Astyanax mexicanus: one gene and its partner. The protein of the gene in region 1 interacts with the protein of each later gene in a pairwise test. Links are inferred from orthologs where the notes say so. Each region holds a gene or a part of one and is shown in the gene's direction. Other genes may lie near its edges.

Evidence for each region. The genes of interacting proteins can lie anywhere in the genome.
Region 2: the proteins of trip6 (region 1) and neu4 interact in binary tests that used the Homo sapiens proteins (3 or more experiments, as listed by UniProt). The two-hybrid records come from large-scale screens. The link is inferred for Astyanax mexicanus from reciprocal best matches to the Homo sapiens genes TRIP6 and NEU4.

Annotation. Positions count from the first base shown.
Region 1 is NC_064415.1:18,461,403-18,465,160, reverse strand, and holds the start of trip6 (thyroid receptor-interacting protein 6), read left to right. Parts: upstream 1-983; 5' UTR 984-1,059; intron 1,060-1,092; exon of another isoform or gene 1,093-1,214; intron 1,215-3,758. UniProt on the Homo sapiens protein: Relays signals from the cell surface to the nucleus to weaken adherens junction and promote actin cytoskeleton reorganization and cell invasiveness. Involved in lysophosphatidic acid-induced cell adhesion and migration.
Region 2 is NC_064411.1:41,214,217-41,217,974, reverse strand, and holds the start of neu4 (sialidase-4), read left to right. Parts: upstream 1-1,294; 5' UTR 1,295-1,358; intron 1,359-3,718; 5' UTR 3,719-3,746; coding exon 3,747-3,758. UniProt on the Homo sapiens protein: Exo-alpha-sialidase that catalyzes the hydrolytic cleavage of the terminal sialic acid (N-acetylneuraminic acid, Neu5Ac) of a glycan moiety in the catabolism of glycolipids, glycoproteins and oligosacharides.

The DNA of each region.
Region 1 (3,758 bases):
TATGGGACACTAGCTGGCCAGCACAACCCCCCACACACACACCCCTTACGTCACGAGTTTGGTGCGCTTCCCAGCGTATTTTTTACCCACCCGTTTTTGACATGTCCCTTGTTCTGGGCTCGGATTGGCTGATAGTATTCCTCGAGCTGAGTTTGGATTGGCTAGCAGCTTATTTTCATAAATTTTTTTTCTTGAAGACATTCGCTGCTAAAAGATATGGTTATTTTCCTAATCAATACCTGATTACTAATATAATTAAGGAAGTGTCATATAAGCTTGTATTGTTACATAAAATATATCCAGCCAAAAGCTTTTTTATAACATTTACGCACAATTTTGAAACAGATTTAAAATATAATTTTGGAAAACGTAAGTGCTTATGTTATTTTAAAATGCATGAAATGTACTGTCTGGTATATTTTCTGTCTTTTGCTGAATTACAGATATAAATATGCACATGCATATTTTAAAACATTCTTTCTCTTTATATATTTTATTGCTGTCTAAAATGTCTACTTGTCTAGCGTGTATTTATTTTGTTATATGTGCACATTGGAGCCTGGAGAAACCTCCAATCACGTTTAACTATGCATTCCTTGCTGTATATTTTAAGTAAGAAAGAAGTAGAAAAGTTCATTTTAAATTTTACTTTGATATATCATACATTTTATATGTTTTTAATGGTCACATTTTAAATAATTATTAATTGTAATGTTTCCAGTTAAAATATATTTTGTTGCTTTTGAAAAAGAGATGAAACACTATATTAAATTAATACAGCCCTTTTCGAAGCAAAAAGCCATTTTACAGTTAAATAAATCATGTTTATTAGCCTAGCAATATTATTAATAATTGTGTATTTGTGTGTATACTATTATTTTCTATGTATTATGTTTGATTGTAATGGATAAAATTAAATAAAAAAATAATAATAATAAAACCTGGAGCGGCCAATCCCAGTTGAGGGGGCGGTGTTTGTCTGAAAACAGGTGGAAAAGGAAATAACGCCGCTTCTCCGGGGCCTCTGGCACACAGTCACACGCAGGATCCACGAAAAAAGTAGGTTACAGGAACTGAAAGTACTCAGTACTTCAGACACCTAAACAACTTTTATACGGGTAGCTAAACAGTCGTGACCTTGTCGAAGACGTGGTGAAGTGAGGCGGGCCGTTTTCAGCGCTCTTTGGTGTGACAACGAGAGAGGATGGCGCTAGGTTAGCTCTAATGTTAGTCATCTAACCTAGCATGAGCTAGCATAGGCAGACCAGCAGCACTGTAACTTTTTCTTTTAAGGGGACAGTGGGGACAGGAGGCTATTAGTGATTCAGTAATGAATTTTAATTTAATCCTGTTTTGTGTGCACGCTAGTGGTTTATCATGCTCCAGTCCAAAACACAGATGTCTTCTTCTTTAAGCTTCTCGCCTGAAATGTTTAACCTAGCTACCAGATTTAGCTCATTTTAACTAGCTACGTTAAATAGTTAACCTAACAGTATTTTGTAACACAGTCCGACACAGGGCAGCATCTTCGTCCCTTAAAGTTCAGGATCGTGAGCTGTAGATTAACTGTGTGTGTTGTGCAGATGAGAGGCGAGTCAGGCCAGCTGTAGATGAGCTGGATTAGCCAGCACTTGTTTTTGAAGAGGTAGGGTAACGTTAACGGAAATCAATAAATGCTCCATTGTTCCTGTTTTCTCCGCAGCCCTCGCACGATACGCTGCGGGTTTCGGGGAAGCTGCATGGCTAATTATTCTGTGCTGAAACCTGGACGTGTCGTGTTGGTTAAGATTTACTATAGTTTACTATAGTCTAAACTGTAGATAGATAGTTAGATAGCTAGGAGTGTGACACTGGCCCACTTTGATTCACCACTGCTTCGTTCAGTATGTTGTTTACTAGCTTGTGTCCACCTAAAAACTAACATTCTCTTATTAGTTACACGTCCAGAACTCGGCCCAACACTCCTCGGGGTTGAGTTTGCGTCCGACAGGGTCCAGGCACCAGCCTAGTCCGCCTGAGCACGCCAAACCTTCTCGCAAACTTTTACAGCTAACGCTAGTTAACAAGCTATCTAGCTACCTACCTACCTAGCTAGATAACTAGCCAGCTTAATGTTAATTTTAAGTTATTTTTCGTTTTAACTAGATAATTATTGCTCTCTTGTCTTTTATCTAGCTATATGATACAGTTTAAATTTCTCAGACATTATTTATGTCTAGTTCTGACACCGGTATACCGTGATGTTGACATACCGTGATGCTGCTCTTCGGTAACAACATATCGGCTAGTAAGCTAACCTATCTAACTAGGTTGACTCGGTTACTGTGTTAGGTTAACGTTACTTGGTTAGTTAGCAGTAGGTTATATAGTTAGCTAGTTATCTATGATAAAGTGACAGTAAAACAGTAACGTTAGCATTTGTATGACCAACCGCCTTTTCCACTCTTCTAAACACTATGGGGCAGCTTCCTCCGGACAGGGAGTAAGCCTAGTCATTAGTCCTATCTGAAATCTCATTCATGGGGGGGATCCTCTTTGATTTTATTCCAGTCCGGGAACGACCATGTACGTGCTTTTCCCAAACGTCTTCTGAATTACTTACTGTTTTTCGCTGAAATATTTAGTCCCCACCAGACACAAATCTAATTTTCATTACCTCGCATTTTATAAAATAGTTGTCCACTGCCACACACTGTCATTACACTTCGGCCGTGCGTTTCCACGGAGATCCACTTAAACAATAGCGAGTGGAAATAGAGGAGCTACTGAACCCGATGTCACGTGACTGAGAAAGCCAAAAAACTCACCGGTCCTCCTGTTTATATATATATATATATATATATATATATATATATACAGTGCCCTCCATAATTATTGGCACCCCTGGTTAAGATGTGTTCTTTAGCTTCTCATAAATTGAGTTTTGTTCAAAATAATATAGGACCACGATGGAAAAAAAGAGTAAAATACAACCTTTAACTCAAGTGAATTTATTCAGTAGGAAAAAAATCCCACATTAAGAAATAATTATTTAACATCAAATCATGTGTGCCACAATTATTAGCACCCCTGATGTTAATACTTTGTACAACCCCCTTTTGCCAACAAAACAGCACCTAATCTTCTCCTGTAATGTTTCACAAGATGGGAGAATACAGAAAGAGGGATCTTTGACTATTCCTCTTTGCACATTCTCTCTAAATCATCCAACGACCTGGGTCCTCTCCTCTGCACTCTCCTCTTCAGCTCACCCCACAGGTTTTCAATGGGGTTGAGGTCTGGGGACTGAGATGGCCATGGGAGGAGCTTGATTCTGTGTGCGGTGAACCATTTCTGTGTAGATTTGGCCACATGTTTAGGGTCATTATCTTGCTGAAAGACCCAGTGACGACCCATCTTCAGCTTTCGGGCAGAAGCCACCAGATTTTGTTTTAAAATGTCCTGGTATTTTAGAGCATTCATGATGCCATGCACCCTAACAAGGTTCCCAGGGCCTTTAGAAGAGAAACAGGCCCACAGCATCACTGATCCCCCGCCGTATTTCACAGTGGGCATGAGGTGCTTTTCTGCATACTCAGCTCTTGTGTTACGCCAGACCCACTTAGAGCATTTGTTGCCAAAAAGCTCTATCTTTGTTTCATCTGACCAAAGCACACGGTCCCAGTTGAAGTCATAGTACCGCTTAGCAAACTCCAAACGTTTGCGTTTATGATTGTGAGTGAGAAATGGTTTCTTCCGTGCATGCCTCCCAAACAGCT
Region 2 (3,758 bases), on another chromosome or scaffold:
AATTGAGCAGTAGAGCCAATCAGAAACTATTCTAATTCTAAATGTAGAAAGTACTGATTAAAAAACAATTTTTAATTTTTTTTTTACATTTGAACTGCCACAAGTTATAGAGCAGTTCTAGCTAGTTTTATGGACATAGCTATTTTGCTGACCAAAATGCAGAACAAAAATCTAGATTTAAAAATCTACTAAACTATGAAACTATATTTAATATTTATAGCCTATACTCTTTTTTAATAAGATGTAAACTTTAAATTTAAGTAAAATCTCCTTACTTACCATTTGGGGATGAGGCTGAATTGGTTTAGTGAAGATTAGATTAATGAAGGAAGCTCCATCTTGGAAAGATATTATTATTTTGATTTAGGCATAATAGATGAGCTTAACTCTTGACACAAGCCATTATCCTGAAGGGGTAGAATCAAATGATCTGATCAACTAAGAGCGTGGACAATTTTAAACAAATTTAATTACATGGCGTTTTTTACTGGTGTTGCCGCAAAGCAGCTTTGCAGAAATATAATTACAGGACAGAGAATCAGACAAAACATTTAACATAAAAATAAACTTACCATTATATAAAACATACAGCCTAAAATGGTTCCTCAATGTTTCTTTAATAAAACTAATGGTTCAAAAATATTAAACATTAAAAATTAATGCATAACTGGACTTGATGTAGCACTAAACTGGGTTTCACTATAATTAGAATATAAAAATAGATTTATAGTATTAAATTAATGCAATAATTATGCAAACCATACGGATTGTGTCTATATGTAGTGCATAAAAACCTTTTTATTGCAATGTAGATTCTGTAAATTATTTTTTTTTACAGATTTTCTTGTGAATGAAAAAACAATATACGTGTCAAAGAACTGTGCATGCATTTAAATCTGTTTTTGCATTGTCACCATTGCATTTTGAAACTTTTTATATCACTCTGCATCTCTTTAACACTCTCTATCTCTCTCACTCCCTCACTCACACATACTCTCACACACACCCTCACACATGCACTAAAAGTGATTGTGAAGAGATAATTGGTGTACACACAATAGCTGCTTATAGCTGATTCACTGGATGCAGTGGTTTTGATGAGTCGAGCTCCTTTCTGGGTCACTGCACAAACTGCGTGCGGCGCACTGAATGGGCCACTACCTAATACACAAGGTCATCCGAACCATGCCTTTATTGTGCATGTTCACCCCCCCCCCCCCCCCCCCCCCACCAAGCTCCCCTATACCCCCCACCCTACACATCACACTCCCACAATTTCACACGCTCTCGATATCTCACTCTCGAACATTCGTCAAACGAACAGACAGTGTGTTACAGACTGTATCTTCCACTGTAGTGTAAGTACTCTGCTTTTTACTCTGTACCATAAATACAATAGATTTATGTAGTTTTTTCTATTATTATGATCCATAATTGTGCCGGTAATTGGTTCCTTAGGTGCTGATTTGCGTATTTTGTGTATTTCTAAAGATTTACTGAATATTTAGACAACCAACTAATCTATAGTTAGTTACTGAATCATTTAAGGTGTTTACTGATTTTTTATTAGTACATATTTAATAACTGTAGCTAATAAATTATTTATTGTTGGTACTAAATTTTGTATAATTGAGTACAGTATAGTAAAAAGGGAGTAATCTTTAGTACTCACAGAAGAAAAGGTAAGGTAGGTCCTAAATTACTTAATATAGTATTAGAATAGTATTTAGTATAATAAATAATAATTATGAATACTGTAGTAGATCCTAAATACTTTATAAAGGATAATCCATTATTTATAATAGTTACTGAATTATTTAGATTATCTAAATAATAATAATATTAATATAAATAATAATGTATATTAATCATAGGTGTATTATTTAGGGTTGGTAGCGAATAATAATAATGAATTGCTTTTTGAGGAATTTATAGTAGGTGCTGAGTAATACAGTGCATTTCCTGAAAACTTTGTATTAGGTATGAATAACTTTAGTATTAAGTATTTATGGTAGGGAACTTTCATTTTCATACATAAATAACTAAATACTAAATTATTAACTGTAGTTACTTAATTAATGAAACTAGTTACAGGATCATCTACATTTTAGGTATTGAGTGATTTTAAGAAAACTCAAACTTGAAACTTAAGAAAAAAATAATTAGTATCATTTAATTTGGATGGTCCATCAGTTTACTTACAGATGCTCAACCAACATTTAACTAACATTCAACTAACATTCAACTGCATGTCTATTAAATGCAACTGAAATTTATACTTTTATACTGACATTGTGGTCTTCAGAGAGCTACAGGAAAGCGAGTCAGTAAATATATAATACATAGCTGTATTGCATTTTTGCTGTGGCAATGCTTTTTAAAGAAATGTTCATTTTTCTGATTTATTAATATTTTATTCTAACAACGTATAGTACATTCTAGTTTTGAAAAACTTGTTAAATCAGATATACATGGCCAGTTTTTCTCTGTGCTAGCCTCCTCTTTTTAAAGAGAATGCTGACTGTGTGTTGGGGGCAGCTCGTTTTTTGCTGGATCATGCCCTCTCTGACTGTTCCAGACACACTGGTCCTCACGCTCAGACTGTGTACACAGGAAAAGCCTTGTGGTGAAATTTTCCAAAACAACTTCTGCAAAATACCAAATATCAGTTGATCACAGTTAAGAGAAATTAAAGACAAAGAGTCCTATCAAACACCCTGTGCAAGGTGCGTCGCGATGCTCCTTTTTTTGTTTCATACTCTATCAAAGGTCTGTTTTCACGCATTGTGCCCGTGTAGTTAAAATAGTGTCGGAGTTTAGGAATAAATCTACACTGAAGGGCGTAGTGATCTGGAAGTGAGGTGTGTTCAGATACATTTCTGGCATGTTTGTATTTTGGCGGTGAAAAACACAGGTGCTTCACTGACTGATAACCCAAGACAAAAGTCAATTTGCCTAGTACACATTTTAGTATATTCTTTATTTTAAAGCACCCACTGCAGCTCTGAAAGGGCTTGGTAATGTGCTGATTAGTTGAATCAGGTGTGTTGGGAGAAGACACCATACCTCTAAAGAGCCAGAACCGCTCATTCAGCAATAGTACATGACCTCACTAATGTTCTTGTGGTGGAAAACAATCACAAATAGTATTAACAATTAATTACTCAGTATGTTACTCAGCTATTAATGCAAAAATAAGAGACCACTTGATGAGTTTCTTTGATTTTACTAAATTGAAAACATCTGGAATATAATTAAGAGGAAGATGGATGATCACAGCCCATTTATTATTGCGCCAGGAGTAGCATAAAGTTATCCAAAAGCAGTGTGTAAGACTGGTGGAGGAGAACATGCCAAGATGCATGAAAACTGTGATTAAAAATGTCTGAATTCTTAAAACTTTATAAGTATGAAATTGAATTACTTGTTTTTCTTGCATATTTTTTTGTTATTTCAGCCATTTCTCATTTTCTGCAAATAAATGCTCTAAATTACAATATTTTTATTTGGTATTAGAGAAAAATATTGTCCGTAGTTTATAGAATAAAACAACGTTCATTTTACTCAAACATACACCTATAAATAGCAAAATTAAAAAAAACGATACAGAAACTGAAGTGTTCTCTAAATTTATTCCAGAGCTGTATAATAGACAAGGAGGTGGTGCTAAAACTTTGAGTGCCTCATGCCTTAGAAATCTTATGTATATGTTTTTCAGTGTTGTCACCGATGACCATCGCTGGACCATGGGATCCTCG